Linked DNA regions of Oryctolagus cuniculus. The protein of the gene in region 1 purifies or fractionates together with the protein of each later gene. This does not show direct contact. Links are inferred from orthologs where the notes say so. Each region holds a gene or a part of one and is shown in the gene's direction. Other genes may lie near its edges.

The links. The genes of interacting proteins can lie anywhere in the genome.
Region 2: the proteins of SNRPF (region 1) and RNPC3 purify together in Homo sapiens (co-immunoprecipitation; 3 studies listed by BioGRID and IntAct, counting the BioPlex papers as one, with this or other methods). This does not show direct contact. The link is inferred for Oryctolagus cuniculus from reciprocal best matches to the Homo sapiens genes SNRPF and RNPC3.
Region 3: the proteins of SNRPF (region 1) and CD2BP2 purify together in Homo sapiens (affinity purification with mass spectrometry; 4 studies listed by BioGRID and IntAct, counting the BioPlex papers as one, with this or other methods). This does not show direct contact. The link is inferred for Oryctolagus cuniculus from reciprocal best matches to the Homo sapiens genes SNRPF and CD2BP2.

Annotation. Positions count from the first base shown.
Region 1 is NC_091442.1:98,722,767-98,728,865, forward strand, and holds the start of SNRPF (small nuclear ribonucleoprotein F), read left to right. Parts: upstream 1-2,358; 5' UTR 2,359-2,495; coding exon 2,496-2,498; intron 2,499-4,478; coding exon 4,479-4,604; intron 4,605-6,099. UniProt on the Homo sapiens protein: Plays a role in pre-mRNA splicing as a core component of the spliceosomal U1, U2, U4 and U5 small nuclear ribonucleoproteins (snRNPs), the building blocks of the spliceosome.
Region 2 is NC_091438.1:66,820,989-66,827,087, reverse strand, and holds the start of RNPC3 (RNA-binding region-containing protein 3), read left to right. Parts: upstream 1-2,539; 5' UTR 2,540-2,643; coding exon 2,644-2,832; intron 2,833-4,489; coding exon 4,490-4,537; intron 4,538-6,099. UniProt on the Homo sapiens protein: Participates in pre-mRNA U12-dependent splicing, performed by the minor spliceosome which removes U12-type introns. U12-type introns comprises less than 1% of all non-coding sequences. Binds to the 3'-stem-loop of m(7)G-capped U12 snRNA.
Region 3 is NC_091450.1:6,705,986-6,711,990, forward strand, and holds CD2BP2 (CD2 antigen cytoplasmic tail-binding protein 2), read left to right. Parts: upstream 1-1,807; 5' UTR 1,808-1,937; exon of another isoform or gene 1,938-2,082; intron 2,083-2,193; exon of another isoform or gene 2,194-2,462; 5' UTR 2,463-2,488; coding exon 2,489-2,563; intron 2,564-2,726; coding exon 2,727-2,862; intron 2,863-2,968; coding exon 2,969-3,126; intron 3,127-3,248; coding exon 3,249-3,684; intron 3,685-3,770; coding exon 3,771-3,877; intron 3,878-3,966; coding exon 3,967-4,077; 3' UTR 4,078-4,294; downstream 4,295-6,005. Other genes in the region: sesquipedalian-1, read right to left, coding at 327-938. UniProt on the Homo sapiens protein: Involved in pre-mRNA splicing as component of the U5 snRNP complex that is involved in spliceosome assembly.

The DNA of each region.
Region 1 (6,099 bases):
TCATCCTTGTCTGGTTTCAGCAGTTCCCACTACACCCTCAGATAAGCAATGCATGTGGCGTCTTAGGAGTTCTCCAGTGCATTCATGCACCTGCAAACACCCGGACACACTGCCCCCCCCCACCTTTTATAAACCCAGGTGTTTATAAGGTGTTGTGCAGTGTGTGCTTTTCTTAGCAATTTATCTTGGGGCTACTTCTGTGGCCTTGACACTTTAGAACACTAGAGGCTAGTTGTTGATCTTTTCTAAATATTTACTCAAAAGGCTGAAGGGGGTATCTTTCTCCCTCTGGCTCACTCCCCAGATGTCCACAACAGCCAAGGTCGGGTCAGGCTGAAGCCAGGAGCCCTGAATACAACCAGGTCTCCAGATGGGTGGGAGGGACCCAAGTACTTGAGCCATCATTTGTGCCCTCCCAGGGTGCACATTAGCAGGCAACCGGAAGGAGAAGTGGATCAGGGACTCAAGGCCAGGCTCTCTGACAGGTGTTGCGGGTGTCCTTGGTGGCACCTCATCTGCTGAGACAAATGCCTGTCCCTGGGGCCAGTTGTTTAGTAAAGTCTCTCAGTCTGGTTTGTCTGGTATTTCCAGACTATTACATTCCTGTTACGTCTTTGGTATGAGCACCACGGAAATGCACCTGCTCTTTGCATCTTACCTAGTGGTACACATACTTTGGATTTGTCCCATTGTTCACAATCATCATTTGAGCATTGGATTAAAGTGACGGCTACCAGGCTTCCTCACTGTAGTTACTTTCCCTCCTTTGCAATTAGTGTTTCTTGGAAGAGTGCCTTGAAACTGCATTAGCTATCCCATTCCAAATCAGACTTTCTCCATTTATTCACTGTGGACTCATGGATTCCTGTTATATTCAGTGGGTCGTAATTCATGGCTGTCTTTACATATTTGATGTTCAAGTTGTCAAAATTGGGACATCCTTTTGAATGACCCCGTCACTCTGAGCATTTTTCCTACTTCTGCATAACAAGACACTCCAGGCTCATTTTGTGCAGGCTGGAATGTAGCCAATTTTCTAAAGTTGCTGAAAGGTGGCTTTATGAAGTAGAGAAAGCAGTTTTGGGGTTAAAATCCAGCTACGTGCCTCTGGGCAAGTTCTCTGCCAAGTCTGTTTTTCTCATCTCAGCTGTAACTTCAGATCACACTGTGTGATTTCTATAATAATTGGGAAAGAGCCGGACATAAAGTTAGGAACTAAAGATTATAGCAAAGTTAAAGATGCAGGGGTGTAACATCTGGCATAGCGCCTAAGACGCCCACATCCCAGATGGGAGTGTCTGGCTTGGAGTCCCCGCTGGGTTTCTGACCCAGCTTCCTGCTAATGCACCCTGGGAGGCAGCAGGTGATGGCTCAAGTAGTTTGGGTCCCTTCCACTCACTTGGGAGTTCCCAGCCCCCGGCTTCAGCCTGGCTTGTTGCGGGTGTTTGGGGAGTTGAGCCAGTAGGTCCAAGAGCGTGTACGCTCTCTGTCTCGCTCTCGCTCTCTCATAAAGAAAATTAAGAATTTTTTTTCTTAAAAGCTGAAGATCCACGACACGATGACTAACCAGAAAAAACCCAGTGCACTTTGGGGTAAATAATTCTAACAGCTATTCGGTCTACACCACACTGATGATCACCCTGACTTGCTGCTCATCATTTAAACCGACAACACGTAAGTCACAGCGAGCATCTCCTGAAAGCTCAAGTCCAAACGCATCTTCTGGGGGGTGTCCAGCAGCAGGCGGTCCTCCTCCAAGCGCCAGTTCTCCGAGATCTGCATTCAGCACCTCCCATCCGGGCTAGTCCAGCGTCGGTCGCGCGGAGAGGGGCTGGCGGCTGCGTCGCGGGCACCGATCAGCCCGTGCTGCCGCAGGTGCTCCCCAGGCCGGCGGGGCCGGGGGCCCGCGGGCAACGCCCCGGGGGAGGTCCTGGCTCCTAGTCTGCAAAGAATTCTGCCGCGGCCCCTCCGTTTCACCTCCCCGCCTCCAGGCCCGCTCCTCTCATTTCCTCTTAGAACGCTGAAACGGGTGCTACCGAATAGACAACCTTCAGGTCGAAGGGGGCTGTGGCAGAGGCGCCCCCAAATCGCGGTACCCGGGGACCTGAGAGCCCCGAACGCGTTCTCACCGTTGTAAACTAACAAAGCGACCCCCCATTAGCCAAGCTGCCGAGAAATCACGTGTGCGCCACAGGGTACGCGGCCTCTCACAGCCGGTTCTTCAAGGCAGGGGAGAAGACTAGTAACGCCGAACGCGTCTCTGGTTGCTGGGAGACACGGCTGCGCCATCTCCTCCAATCAGCACACGCCTCTTTTTGACCAATCATAGAAGGCGAAAGAGCGGTGGTGGGAGGTGAAAGGTCAAGCTGAGGTTTGGCGGCCATTTCTCTTGCAACTTCGGAGGTCTGGGCCTTGGGGGAAGCTGCTCCGAGCACGCGGGACGGGCTGTATCTGCGTCGGCGGCGTCTAATCCGCAACGTTAGCCCGAAGTCGTGATGGTAAGGAGAGGGAGGACTGCTGGAGTCGCGAGACGGAGAGGGCGGGAAGGCAACTTCGGGCTGGCTGAGCCTGGTGGCGGCTTCGCGCCTTTCCCATTCATCCGCGAGGCGCAGCGCACCGGGGCGCCAGTCTGCGGGTTCCGCGGACGCGCGCGAGTCCCTTCCTGGCTGGGACGACCCTCGCCTCCTGCTGCCTCTTCTTTCTGAGTCCAGGGAAGAAAGAGGTAGTCGGGGTGGATGTAGCAAACGCTGAAGCGGTTTGCGTTTCCCACTTCGTCGCACTCATGAAGCCGCTTTTATTCCGTCGGTGATGTTTCTCCAGCCCGCCTTGGCCCAGGCCCCGGAGCGTTCGTGTATTCGTTCTGACGCTTATTGAGCGCCGGCGACTTGGCCAGGTTGAGTCTTGGGCTCCAGGACTAGAGACTGAGAAGTGCCCATGCGGACCCTGCACCGGCCGAGCTGGGCGGGGTGTGAGAGACAGACGTCCGTCAGGCGCTGTTCACCGAAATGGGCACCGGCCTAGACGGGAGCGGGCGGGAGGCTGCGGCCCCGGGGCGCTGGGGCGCCTTCCGCGGCTGCCCCCGGAGGGGGGCTTTCACCCGAGCCCGGGTGACAGGAAATGGGGCTCCGGAACGATGAGGGAGGGACAGCTACACTCGTGGTGGGTGTTGGCCGAAAGCGGCCACCGCTTGCGAGAGCGCCAGGACCTGGGCAGCGTGTGGAGGGTCTACCCCGGCGCCCTCGGCAGCCGTCGGAGCTTTCTCATCAGGCCCGATGGGATGCGCTCTGGCACACGTCGTAGCGGCTGTGTGCTCGCTGCGCCCGAGAAGTGGGGAGCTGGGGGCCGTTAGGCGGTTATTGCGGGTGGAGCCCTCCTACTTTTCCCGCGATTTAGTAGCGGTGTCTGGGTTCTTCCTCGGGGTGAGGAGGTGAGCGCGGAGAGACTCGGTTCGCCGGCGATGCACCGGTCGGGTGAGGACCGAGCCCTGCCGAGCTTGGTCCTGCCCCGAGTGGGATGCTGACCGTACTGCTTGTTCTCGGGATGACGCGCGCAAGCGCACACATACACACGGTCATTCCAGATGGGAAGCCTCCCTGGCCTCCAGCGGTCCCCTTTCCCTCTGGAATAGACTTCACCCTTTAAAACGGAGGCATTGCTCCTACCAGGCAGCCCGTTCCTGTCTTTTTTCCTGAGTTGGTTGGGCCTTTCTGCATAGCATCGCTCTTACTGCTTTGCAATATAATTGTCTGTATGTCTGCAGCGCCACACCCCCACCCTGGCTTCTTAAGGACAGAGCCTCGTTACACGTTTGTTGTAGGGCTTTCATCTTTGTTTCCTTAGAGCTTGCGACACTGAGGACTGCAGGTGCCGCTTGTCTCCTAAGTGCAGCGTGAACACTTATTTTTTTGTGATGGGTTGAAGACGAAATGGGATAACTGGTTAAATTTCCCAGATGCTAGCCGGCGCCGTGGCTCACTAGGCTAATCCTCCACCTTGCGGCGCTGGCACACCGGGTTCTAGTCCCGGTTGGGGCGCCGGATTCTGTCCCGGTTGCCCCTCTTCCAGGCCAGCTCTCTGCTGTGGCCCGGGAGTGCAGTGGAGGATGGCCCAAGTGCTTGGGCCCTGCACCCCATGGGAGACCAGGAAAAGCACCTGGATCCTGGCTCCTGCCATCAGATCGGTGCGCCGGCTGCAGCGGCGGCCATTGGAGGGTGAACCAACGGCAAAGGAAGACCTTTCTCTCTCTGTCTCTCTCTCACTGTCCACTCTGCCTGTCAAAAAAAAAAAAAAAATTTCCCAGATGCTCTTCAACAAACAAAAGTGGAAATTAGGTAGTAGAGTGATAGGGAGTGAAGAGTTTGCTTCATTTGGATGTTACAAAATATTGATTGGTGGATTGGTAGAGGAGAGTGAGGAGTGGAAGCCAAGTTAAGGAAAAAAAAAAATCAATGGATTTTTTGTTTGTTTGTTTTGTGCAGAGTTTACCCCTCAATCCCAAACCTTTCCTCAATGGATTAACAGGGAAGCCCGTGATGGTGAAACTCAAGTGGGGAATGGAGTACAAGGGCTACCTGGTGTCTGTAGACGGCTATATGAACATGCAGGTAAGCTAGAGGTGAAAGGGTGGTGACACTGTGTTTCTTCTGTTCCACTTTATTCCTCCAAGGTTTCGTGTGACTAATAATTCATACAGTTGGCAAAGATAGAACAAAATTCAGGAATGAAGTCAAGGCCAGGGAGGATGTTACAACTGATAGACTAGGTACAAGACACGGGGTTAGGCCAGGATTCACAGACCTTACTCGTGGTGGGTAAAGTGAGGAGGACTCAGGCATTTGATTATTCATATAATAAGGGAAATACATGAGTTGCTTTCAAAAGCAAACCTTTTTCCAGCGCTTAAATCTGATATTTTTCAAGTGAAATTCTTGTCTCTTAATGAATGCTAAAGGCACAACATTAATGTAATCAACTAGAAGCATTTCTTCAGAGGGAAGACAGATTAGCTGAAAGAATTGATGAACTATGTTGGTTAAACTAGTTGTAAATGATTTTGCCAGTGAGGGGGGGGATTTGGTGTGAATTTTTTTATTGTGATAAAATATACATAAAAATTTGGCCACTTTAACCATTTTTAAAGATGTCACTCAGTAATAGTATGTGAGAACATTGTTTTGCAGCTACCACTAGTACCCAATTTCAGAACTTTTTCATTATCCTAAAGTGGAACTCTGTACCCATTAAGCAGTAACACCCCCGTACCCCAGATTCTAGCTGTTGGTAACCACTTTTCTACTTTGTGAATTTAATCATTTTGGGAAGAATCATATAGTCAGTACCAAACATATACAGGCCTTTGTTTCTTGTCATTTCCTAAACAAGACATTATAGCATTTTTACATAGCATTTACATTGTAGTAGGGAACATAAGTAATCTAGGCATGATTTAACGTATATGAGAGCATGTGCATAGTTCATATGTAGGTACTGTGCTCTTTTACAGAGAGGGACTTAAGCACCCTCAGATTTTGGTATCCTTGGTCACAGGGAGCAGAGAGGGTGTTCGGAAACCAATCTCCCAGATTCCAAGGGATGATTGTATCTTTTTGTGTTTGGCTTGTTTCACTTAGCACAGTGTACTCAGGGGTCACCCATGTCGTACAGCCATGTGTCAGATTTCATGCCTTTTATGACTGAGAAAGACTCCATTGTATGGATGTGCCACACTAACCCATTCACCTCCTGTGGACACTTAGATTGCGTCTTCCTTTTGGCTACTGTAAATGATGTTACTATGAACATGGGTGTATATTCGAGTCCCTGCTGTCAGAAGTGGGATTGCTGGGTCATATGGCAGTTCTGTGTTTGAGGACCTGCCACACTGTTTTCTATATAGCAGCTTTGGTTTTGCATTTCCCCCAGCAAGTATAAAGGTTCCAGTGGGGTCGAATTAGTATCTCATTGTGGATTTGATTTGGATTTCTTTATTTATTTTTATTTTTGACAGGCAGAGTGGACAGTGAGAGAGACAGAAAAGTCTTCCTTTGCCATTGGTTCACCCTCCAATGGCCACCGCGGCCGGCGCGCTGCGGCCGGCGC
Region 2 (6,099 bases), on another chromosome or scaffold:
TACTGACAAAGAAAAGATAAGGCAAATCGAATATAAGTAAAAGAAATTAGTGAGAGAAAATGATTCTGTCATTTTATTATTCACTTGTGATATCTCAATTACAATAGATAAGGACCATTAAACTCTATTTGATACCCCATATATCAACTCTTACCACAGGAAGCAATGGTAAATATGGAAGTGAATCCCTTCATGCATTTGGTAATTGAACAGATATTACAGAATGTCTAATTTGTGCTGAGAATGTTTAAAACACAGAGAATGTGAATGTGAGGGCCATCTGGCTGTGCCATTGATCATTAAGGTTGATTCTGCTGATCTAGCTGGCTACACAGATATTCCCTTCCTCTCTGCTCTAAAGTCAAGGCATATCAGTAGCTGTTAAAATATCCAAAAAAGCCCTCAAGGGATATACAGAAGTCTGTAAAGGACAGTGTTTAAAGATGCCTGCCCCAATCACTTTCTCATTACCCTATTGCTAGTATTTCAAAACACTTACTCACTGAAAGTAATTCATTTATTCATTTATATTATTTAGCATGTTTTTAGTACCAGAATGTAGCCATCAAGAGAGCTGAGATGGCTCTTCCTCCACTTCTCAACAGTGGTGGTATGCACCATAGATTTATAACAGGCTCCTTTCTATTTGCACCCTTATTATTTGGACAGAAATACTATAAAGTTTGACCCCATATGTATTCAGTGTTGAACTTTCCCCAAATCCCAAGCATACATATCCATTCCATATTCCTCCTTTCCCCTACTCCCACCACAATTCCTAACCTAGTGACGTTTTAGTCAGTCTCCTTATGCTTAGTAAATGACATTGTCATCTATTTACTTGGTGGACAATTAGGAGCTCAAGCCACAAATCCAGAATTTATCCCTGATTGCTGTTCTTCAAGTTACTAAAATTTTACTTCCAAAATATATCTCAAGATCCTCCTATGACTACTTCTGCTAAACCCTGTCAGGCTGTGTCTTTTCCCCTGGGCTTCCCCAGTAGCCCAACTTCATGCTTCTCCTATATTTTTTCACATGGCAATCAGAAAAATTTTCATACTAAAATTTGATCATGTCCTCATCTTCCCCAAATACACAACTACTAAACGTCTTTGCGGGGCCAGTGCCGTGGCTCACTTGGTTAATCCTCCGCCTGCAGCACCCGCATCCCATATGAGTGCCGGGTTTAGTCCCGGTTGCCCCTCTTCCAGGCCAGCTCTCTGCTGTGGCCCGGGAGAGCAGTGGAGGATGGCCCAAGTGCTTGGGCCCCTGCACCCGCATGGGAGACCAGGAGGAAGCACCTGGCTCCTGGCTTCGGATCAGCGCAGCGCGCTGGCCACAGCAGCCATTGGAGTGTGAACCAACGGTAAAAGGAAGACATTTCTCTCTGTCTCTCTCTCTCTCACTGTCTAACTCTGCCTGTCAATAAATAAATAAGTCTTCATTACCAATTGCTCTGCATAAAAGCAAGGATCTAAACAAACCTACAAGATTTACATATTGAGTCTCTACCTATTCAACTTTTTTTCCTTGCCAATTAATACTCCATGAGAACAGAATTTTGATGTATTGTTTACTGCTATCTCATTCACATTTATCCAAGGAGAAAATAAAAAGATCAAAGAAATACCTTGCTCCTTCACAGTGTAACAGCTGAACCTAATTTCACTTGGAGTGAAGGGTAGATTTCCGACCCTTTTGAGGTTATGCCTCACTATATTCAGAATCTAAGCAGAATAGTGGGTCACAGTACATACCCCATGTCAGAAGACCAGGGGTCAAATTTTAGCTTTCCCACTCTTTGTATATCCTCCCTTGAAAAAAAGACTACTTACCCATGCACCTAAAATGTATAAGGGTATTTCAAAAAGTTAATGGAAAATAACATGAAAATTTATTTTGGTGCAATTTTGAACTTGATATGCAGGCTTTTATGTACTTGTATGTGTAAAGACATTTATGCATTATGGCATGTCCTAGAGGCTGCCATTTCTGTGAAATGAATCGCTCACCCAAGGCAAAATGCTTGTAGCTATGTCCCTTGCAGTACCTTCTCCGGTTTACCAAAGGACTAGCTAACTCTAGTTATTTCACTGTCAGGACTGCAAAGGCACACTGCTTGTTCCCACACCAAGTTACATCCGCCAGCCTGTCCTATTCACTTCCCCGAGCCAGGGAATAGCCCAGAGGCACAGCCCCGGAGGCGCCGCGCCACGCCACGCCCAGACTCGCACACCCCACCGCGCAGGCGCGCAGTGAGTCCTGCAGTCCCGGGGCACAGACCCGCTGCCGCTCGGGCGGCGAGCTTCCCCGTTCTCTGAGTGCGAGCTTCTGGTAATTTTCATGCCTCTGTGAGCCGTGTTTGCTTTTAACACCTCTGGCGGCTACCTGGGATTTAACTCACTTTATTTGCCTTCACTGTCCGCACCTTGCCTTTCAGTGTGAGGCGTCCCGGACAGCTGCCGCTCGGCCGTGGCGCAGTTCTCGCGAGAAGGAGATCATCTCGCGGTGTTTCCTTGTTACCAGCGTCCTTAGCGCGAGGCGGAAAAGTGCTCGCTGGTGTCGGCTTCTGTTGATGCCGCTGCTTCGCGTCGGGAGGCTTCTTCCTGCGACTTATCTGTTGCCGCTTTTCCAAGGAAAATGGCGGCCCCCGAGCAGCCGCTGCTCGTATCAAGAGGATGCACAAGCTCTACGCTGTCCCCGCCGCGAGGCGACCGAACCCTTCTGGTGAGGCACTTGCCAGCAGAGCTGACCGCTGAGGAGAAAGAGGACTTGCTGAAGTATTTCGGGGCGCAGTCCGTGCGTGTCCTGTCAGATAAGGGGCGACTGGTAAGGTTGTGCGTCCTCCTGAGTATCGCGTGTAGCCCTTGAGTGCTTACCGGGCGGGGGAGGCGCTGACGAAAGGGGCGGAAACGAGTGGAGACGAGGGGCTTGTGTGAGCGGAGGGGCCTCAGCTTCCCCCTTTTACGTCAAAATATCTTGTGTGCGAGGGGGAGTTTGAATTGGCTTGGGTCCGGATTTCGTCACAGCACCGCCAAGAGTGAGAAAGTGAAAAGAGTAGAAATGAAAATAGCTTTATTGTATTCCCGTTGTTGACCAGTCTCCGAATTTCTCAACGCCTCTGAATTTGGGGTACTGGGAGTATTCTTAGGAATAGGTAACAAAGGAGTTTTTAAAAGTTCAGGCTCATTTAGAAACCGTTGTCAAAACACTGATCAGAATAGAGCAGAAAGTGCAATAGCTGTTTGAGTAAACTAGATAGAGGATTTCTGCTAAGTTTTTGACCCAGGTGCTTTTTCATCAAGATTTCCCTACGGGATCTTTTAGGGAAAAATACTTTAACACTTAATAATTCCTACCCACGAATTTGTACAGTTTTATACTTGATGTTTTAGGTAATTTTCTCTTAGTTAAAATAGTAATGGCACTATTCAGTTGCTGCAAAATGATCTGTGATGGGGCAAGACGTCAATGTTTTTAAAAAGTCTCTCCAAGAGACTCCAGTGTGTAGCCAGGAGTGAGAATCCCTAAGTTGGAAGAAAGACCGGTTTTGATGAGTTTGAGTATTACGCATTTCGAGCAAATACAAGTAAAATACCGCATCTGGTTCAACTGAAGTACACTTAGTTAGATCATCTTGGATCTAATTAGATAAAATTGGGACGTGTGATGTAAGTAAGCAACACTTAATAAGCATTTACAAGAACTCAGTATAGTGTATAGTGTAGGTGTATTGTAAATAGGGGCTATTTTATATTTTTAGATGGGTTAAGAGTGATCCTCTGAGGATAGTAGGGGTTTTTAAACTTCAGATATGTTTCACAATTTATATAAATAAAGCCTGCATGGAGTATGTTTATACCTTTATATGAAAAATGTTGCATAGCTTTCATCTCAAAAAGTCCGACCCAAAAAAAGACTCAAAATCACTGAACTGAAATCAGTCATCAGTTTAAATGTACCATCATTTTATTAATGTGCCACATTCCTCCATTAGTACTGTTAGGAAAATGGCACAGTCTTATCTATGGCACAATCTACTCCCTGACACCATCCTAGGCTTTATTGCTGGATGCCAGGTGGGCATATGGCCCAATCACCAATGTCAAGCTCCACCCCCATCCTAATTGGATTCCCTGCTACTTCCCTGCCTGTCCTCCACAAAGTTTTAAAAGGACCTGTTCCTGAACACGTCTCTCTCTCCTTCCACTCTCCCCTCCTCTCTCTCTCTTGCTCGTTCTCTCTTGCCCCTCTCCTTTCTCTCTCTCCCCCTCTCCATCTCCTGCCCCCTGTCTCTCACACTCTCCTTTTCCCTCTTTTCCTTCTTTGCCCCTTCCTTCTGGTCTGTCGGGTTTCCCCCAATAAACTCTTTCCCTTACTCCGGTGTTTGGTGTGTTTTGTGGCAGCCTTACAAGTACAACATCAGATTTCTTTATGGGTAACTGAAATTATACTGGAAGTAATTTGTACCTTAAATTTGTTTCAGAAACATACAGCTTTTGCTACTTTCCCTAATGAAAAAGCAGCCATAAAGGTATGATTTTCTTTACTATTGAAGTTATCAACAATTTCCTGTATCTAATCTTGGTACAAAAATGGGAAGAACTATTAAACTTTAGTTTTTAAAAACTTTCAAAAGAGTTAACATTCCATGTGTTTGCCCAACAGACTATATTTGTTTTGGCAATTAACAGATCTTTTTGTCTAACATTTAGGTAATGGTATGTAAGAATAGTGAAATAAATCAAAATTAGCAGCATATATAACTAAAAAAATGGCAAGTTCAAAGCATGTGAAGATAACTAACTGTTGGGAAGCAAAATGGTTTACGTATTAAAGGAGAGTGAATATACACACAGAGAGTACTTCAAAAAGTTGAGCAAAAAGCATGTTAGAAAAACTATGCATAGATTTCAAGAAGCTTTCAAAGCAGTAAATTTACCTTTGAATTCCATTTTTCCATTAACTTTGTGAAGTCTCAGAATCATTTGCAAAGTAAGTGGCCTTTCACATAATCTCTAATGTTTGGTTGTTTTTTGAGAGATCAAGCGAGATGGACCTTGCAGATTTGAGGTACACAAAGTAAAGATTTAGGACATGGAAATGTGTAAGTAGGTCAAGGGCTAAGGGTTGTGATGGAAATAGGAATGGAAAAATAGACTGAGTAGAAGAGACATATACTAAAGGCACTTGATACTTTTGACCTAGCTAATAATATGAACAGGCCTGTGAAAGATACTTGGTGGAATTTATATCATGGATCCAGTGTGGAGAAATATTAAATATAGCAAGTCCAAATAGAAAGCTGTTAAAATGGCCAGGGTGAGAATAAGTATCTGAAGAAGGTGATCCAGTGACAAAGGGTAAAGAAGTATACTTGATAAAGATCATGTTGGTAGGCCTTGTGATGTAGGGTTGAAAGAGTGAATAGTTCAGATATGTGGACTGAGTTGTTAGGTTGTCAGATTAGCTTCTCTGGGCAGTGAGAGTAGGAAGATGTTTACAAAGGTACATAATGAATTCAAATGTCATTTGTTAACTTTGAAAAGTCCTTGCTACTTCAATGGAAAGAGCTAGTAAACATTTAAAAATATTAGCCTAGAGCTGAGGCAAGGTCAAGAACTCAGATTCTTCAACCTTATGAATAGATACTACCAAATGAAAGGTGAACTAGTAGAAAAGACTGGGTGAGAGTAGTATTTTTTTTTAAAAGAAAAATGTAGAATTAGGAAATAAATTACCATGGATGTAGAGAGTAGTTTTAAGAAAATGAGATCCAGTGATGACACAAAATGCAGAATGAACAAAATGTAATAGTTAGTGATTTTTATTATGAAACAGAAGTGACCCAAATTCTCATCAGTAAGGGAAACAGATACTTCAAATGGTTATGCGGAGTGAGCATCCATAAATTGAAAATCTGAAATACCCCAAAATTTGAAACTTTTGAATGACAATATGGTGCCATGAGTGGAGGAAAAGCTACATCTAACATCATGTGACAGTTGTAGTAAAAATGCAGGTGCACTAAAAATATTGTGTACAGTTACCTATAGACTATGAGTATTACAAGGTTTATATGAAACACATATGAAT
Region 3 (6,005 bases), on another chromosome or scaffold:
CGCTCTGTATTCTCAGGCCTCCCCTGCCTCGTCTTACCAGGACCCCCCCTTCACCTCCATCCCTTCCAACCCCTGAGTAAGGGGTCTTCCCTTGGCCTTCAGGGGGTGGAACCCAATGTTTACATTTTTCTTCTGTCTCTGCCCCCACCCCTTGTGGCGCTTTGAGGAACCGGAAAAGAACCTGCTGTTGTCCCTGGGCCGTCTCCTGCCGTGTTATTTGATGAAGGGGTTTGGGGCCGGGATTAGGGTGCAGGGTGGGAAGGAGCCAGGGCCTGGGTCTCCGGTGATCTCTGCAGACGGGTACTCCCTGGCCTTTGGTCTGCCTCTCAGTCACTCGACAAACACTGGTTGAGCTGCTCCAGCTTTGCCTGGGACCTGGCTTCCCGGAGTCCTCTGTGCACTGCCAGCAGCACCCGGATCTCCTTCCCAAAGCGCTCGTGCAGCTCCTGGAAGCTGGAGTGGGGCCCGAGGATGGCTAGAAAGCCACAGTCCTCGGCGGGGCACCTGGGTTCTTGGCCAGCCGCCTGGCAGAGCTCCCGGTACTGGGCCTCCATGGGGGGAAGCAGCCTAGCCAGCCGCCTCCAGCTCACCCCGGCCAGCGCCCACAGCCAAGCCCTCAGCTCCTCCTGGCTTTCTGCGGCCAGCTTGTAGGCCCGCCCCCCTGTGCCCTCTCCCCCGGGGGTCACGATGGTGAAGGCGAAGGGCTCTGCGGCCTTAAGGCGAGGCTCCACCCGGCAGCTCTCCAACAGGATGAGGCCCAGGGGAGTGTGGGCTTCCTGGTGTTCCAGGTAGAAGAGGAGGTTTCCACGGAGGACAAACCAGCGGCGCTGGTAGCTGCTGTTTCGGGCCCCCTTCTTCAGCAAGATGCCCTCCTGGTCTGGGGCCTGGGCTCTGCAGCCTTGGAAGAAACTGAGCACAGACTTGCGGTGCAGTTTCATGGTGGTGGCCCTGGAGGGACCCTGGGGGAGAGAGGAGTGGTCCCCTGGTTGCCTGGGAGGATGCTCACGCCCTCCTAGCTCCAGCAGGCTCTGCCTGGGCACAGTCTTGGCCTGCACACCCTTGGGCGTTAGCTGTCTTGTCCCACCACCCAGGGCCAGGCCCGCCCACCTCCCCGCCTCAAATCCCATCACCTAGGCAGGGTCGCTGGGCCCTGATTGCTAAGGGGGCGGGGGCTTCATCCCACCGCTGTGGTGCCGGAGGGACCATTGCCCTTTCCTAGGCCTACCTGAGAGCAGGCACAGGGGCTTCTGGGCTGGCCACAGGGCACCCGCGACAATGCCACCTCTGCAGCAGTGGCTGCCCCGCCTCAGAAATCAGGAACTGGCTCCGCGGACAGGCGTGGAGCACGTGATTTCCCCTGGGTCCTAAAGGCGGCTGGGTTCTGAAAGTGTCCCAAGTGCCCTCAGAGGCCATCAGGTGAGCCTGGCTTCCCTTAGGGAGAAGAGCAGGGCCGCGCCTCACGCTAGGAGAGGGCGCAGCTCTGACAAGTGTAAGGCACTTGGCCAGTCTGCGGGAAACGGTGGTGCGAACCCCGGAAGGGGCACCTGGGGCTGGAACCCATCGGCTCTGCTCCTCCTCTGCCCCTCCATCCTGACCCTGGGCTCCCCTCTAAGTGGAGTTGCATCCCCCAGAGGCTGCGTGAGGGCATCGAAGCCACTTCGGGGCATCCTCCGCGCCGATCAGGGTCTAGGCGCCCGCACACTCCTCGCCGCTGCAGACCCGCGCGGCTCACGTCACTCCTGGCGGGGGACAGGGTTGGAGGTTGCCGCCTAGCTCACTACCTACTTCCGCCCGCTCTTCCTGTTAGTCCTTCAAGTGGAGTGAAGCCACTTCCGGCCTCCGCCGTACGCTTCCGGGTGATGGCGGCCAGGTGCCCCGGATACAGCCCTGGTGAAAGCATCTCTCCTTTTCTTCCCCTGCCTCCCCTAGATCCCCAGGTGAGCGCGCGCGGGGCTGGCTGCCGGAGTCCCCGTGGCTGTGCCGCCCTCTAATCTGTACACACCCCGGGACAGTTGGGGGGTCAACCACGTGGAATTGGGAGTTCGGCGCGAGGAGGAGGAGCAGAGCGGCCGGGAGCGCCAGGTCCTGGGTCGGCCCGGGCCCCGCGGGCTCCGAGGGCTTTGGGGTTGCGGGAGCGGGTGTGTGTGCCCGCCGAGCCCGGTAGCGCTCAGACTGCGGAGGCCGGATATGGGCGTGGTCACGTGGGGGAGCCGGGCCCCTGTCGTCGGGGTGGGGATACTCCCCGCGTCTGGCCTGGCGTCCCAGCTCCGTTAGCTCTGGGATGGCGAGCCGAGGCCGTGGGAGCCTCCGGGCTGCAGCTCCCGCTCTGGCCCCCGATTCTCTGTGCTCTTCCCTCCCAATGGACCTGGCACGCACCAGGAAGCGTGTCCTGTGGCCAGGGTTCTCTTGCAGTGGGTGGCCTCCCGCTCAGGCCGCTTCCTCTGCAACTTTTCCCCCATCAGGTTAAGGGAAGCCCCCCTGGCCCGTCATGCCAAAGCGGAAAGTGACCTTCCAAGGCGTGGGAGACGAGGATGAGGATGAAGTCAGTGTTCCCAGGAAGAAGGTGAGGGGGCCAGACCGTTTTGTTGGGGGGAGGGGAGGCAGAGCGGAGCCTGAAGAGGAGGGCAGGTCCCCCAGGACTGGGTTTGGAGGGTGCTCAGCTTGGGTGCAGATGCTGGAGTCTGGGAGGAGCTGAGAATTCTGCATTTCTCCCTTCCTGCTCTCAGCTGGTGGACCCCGTGACTGGGCCCGGGGGTCCCGGGAGCCGCTTCAAAGGCAAGCACTCCTTGGACAGCGATGAAGAGGATGATGACGACGAGGGGTCCAGCAAGTATGACATCCTGGCCTCAGAGGATGTGGAAGGTGAGTAGCACCCAGGGAGGGACGAGTGGGGACTTGAGGGAGGGAGGTTCCTGTCTCTCTCTTTTTTTTGCATGCCTCGCATGGGGCGACTCTGTCTCTGATGCAGGTCAGGAAGCAGCCACGCTCCCCAGTGAGGGAGGGGTGCGCATCACTCCCTTCAACCTGCAGGAGGAGATGGAGGAAGGCCACTTTGATGCCGATGGCAACTACTTCCTGAACCGGGACGCTCAAATCCAGGACAGCTGGCTGGACAATATTGATTGGGTGCGGCCCAGGGCTCAGCACGGCTGGGGTGGGGTGGGGGGGCTGGATCTGGGCTCCTGGAGCAGGTTTGTAGGAAACAACCCCCTGCAGCCCCCGACCCTGACCCCTTTCTTGCATTCTAGGTGAAGATCAGGGAGCGGCCCCCGGATCAGCGCCGGGCTTCAGACTCGGAGGAGGAGGACAGCCTGGGCCAGACACCACTGAGCGCCCAAGCCCTCCTCGAGGGACTTCTAGAGCTGCTGCTGCCCAGGGAGACAGTGGCCGGGGCACTGAGGCGGCTGGGGGCCCGAGGAGGGGGCAAAGGGAACAGCAAGGGGCCCGGGCGGCCCAGTTCCCCCCAGCGCCTGGACCGGCTGTCTGGGTTGGCTGACCAGATGGTGGCCCGGGGCAACCTTGGCGTTTACCAGGAAACTCGAGAGCGCCTGGCCATGCGGCTGAAGGGGTTGGGGTGTCGGACCCAGGGGGCCCAGGATTCCACGCCCCCGCCCTCCCTGGACATGTTTGCGGAGGAGGTGGCTGAGGGGGAGCTGGAGACCCCGACCCCTCCCCAGAGAGAAGGTGAGCTTTGGAGGGCAGAGGAGGGGCAGCGGTGTGGACTGGAGGCCGGGCAGTGGAGCTCCAATCGGCTCCGCCTCTGGTTGCAGAGGCAGAGTCGGCGGGCGACGGCCTGGTGGACGTGATGTGGGAATATAAGTGGGAGAACACCGGGGAGGCCGAGCTCTACGGACCCTTCACCAGTGCCCAGATGCAGGTGAGCGCCCCCCCCCCTCCCCCGCACGCCCCGCCCCACCCCCGGCCCGCCCCGCCCCGCCGTGTCAGCCCCGCCCTGTCTACCTGCAGACCTGGGTGAGCGAAGGCTACTTCCCAGACGGAGTCTACTGCCGGAAGCTGGATCCCCCGGGTGGTCAGTTCTACAACTCCAAACGCATCGACTTCGACCTCTACACCTGAGCCTGCGGAGGGCCCAGTTGGGCGCCCCCCCCACCTCCCCCGTTCTCTGCTGGACTTTGGGGGAGCCGGCCCCCAGCTGCCTTGGGCAGGGAGAAGATTGGAGGCTACTTTTCAATTTCTGTTTTTCCCAATAAAATGCCTTTAGTGGTGTGCGAGGGCCTCGGCTGTGCTGACGGCCAGGAGCCGGGGGCCGTCTCCACAGCCCTTCAGACTGTTATGTGTTTGTACGCTTTTTCCTCTGCCGTGGTCTCTCCCCGGTGCCTTGAACCCTCCTCACCTTCGTTTCCCGCCTCCCTGACTGGCAGGTGTCCTGTGTGGGCCCCGCCCTGATCTGCGCCTGCGCGGGCTTCTCGCTGTGCTGACCTCGCCTCCTCTGTCCTCACAGCCGCTGGGGACCTGAGCCCCGGGCCCAGGAATTGCAGGTGTTAGTGGGACGTCTCGAAGACCAAGGATGAGCAGGAATTCTCTTTTTTTTAATTTTTTTAAAAAAGATTTATTTATTTATTTGAAAGTCAGAATTACACAGAGAGAGGTCTTCCATCCGCTGGTTCACTCCCCAGTTGGCTGCAACGGCTGGAGCTGAGCCAATCCAAAGCCAGGAGCCAGGAGCTTCTTCCGGGTCTCCCACGTGGGTGCAGGGGCCCAGGGACTTGGGCCATCTTCTACTTCTTTCCCAGGCCATAGCAGAGAGCTAGATTGGAAGTGGAGCAGCTGGGACTAGAACCAGCACCCATATGGGATGCTGGCGCTTCAGGCCAGGGCATTAACCTGCTGTGCCACAGCGCTGCCCCCCCCCCCCCCTTTTTTTTTAAGGTTTATTTATTTGAGAGGCAGAGTTACAGACAGACAGGGAGGGAGGGGTTTTCCATCCGCTGTTTCACTCCCCTAATAGCCACAATGGCTGGAACTGAGCCGATCTGGAGCCAGGAGCTTCTTCTGGGTCTCCCACGTGGGTGCAGGGACCCAAAGGCTTGGGCCATCTTCTGCTGCTTTTCCCAGGCCATAGCAGAGAGCTGGATCGGAAGTGGAGCAGCCGGTAATTGAACCTGTGCCCATGTGGGATCCCGGCACTGCAGGTGGAAGCTTAACCTACTACACCACAGCGCTGGCCCCAGGAATCCCCCTACTGGCTCTCCTCCCTCTTAGGAAGGGGCTAGGTGAGCCAAGGTCAGCCCAAGCCCCAACATTTTCCCTGATGCGTCTGTCTGCGGCGTTGGGGGTTCCCGTCGCTGGGGTGTGAACTTCACGTCCACTGGAAGAGCCCCTCGGGCCACCTGGGCCGGCCCTGCCTTGTAGGGACCGAGAGAGGGGCAGTGACGCATCGGAGGACACACAGAGGGCTGGCCCACACCCAGTGAGTTCCTTTCCCAGGCCTCTCTTGGCACAAAGCCGCTTCTGCCTGGCCTTGGAGGCGTGGCAGCTTCCTCCCCCCGGGCGCCCACAATGTGCTTGGCCCAGGGCTGGCGCCTGAGGAAGCCCAGATAACCGGGGTTCTGCGTCTGCTGGAAGGGGATCATGGAGTCTGGCCCTGACAACCCCTCCCCCCCACCAGCCCCACTGGAGCTGCCCTTGGCCTCTCCTCGCGTGCGCCAGCGTAGATTGAGCCTTTTTCCACAGTGCCTGCCCCTTGGAATCTGCTTGGGCACCGAGCAGTGCTCCCCCTTGGGCTCCGATTGGCTTGATCCAGGCTGTGGCCAGGCCTCCGGTCTTTTCTTTGGGTCCCTAGTTTCAGCCAGGCAGGACCCTGCTGGAGGTGTGGAGTTGAGTGACAATGGAGCCTCTGAGGGCCACACCCTAGCTAGGCCAGGCACTGGGAGACTGGGGGGCTGTGTGGATGCTTTAACCATCCAGCAAATGCCCCTACCCCTCAACTTCTATAAGAAGTTGAAATACAAGTTCACCCTGTTGCAAAAAAGTGTTTGAAATCC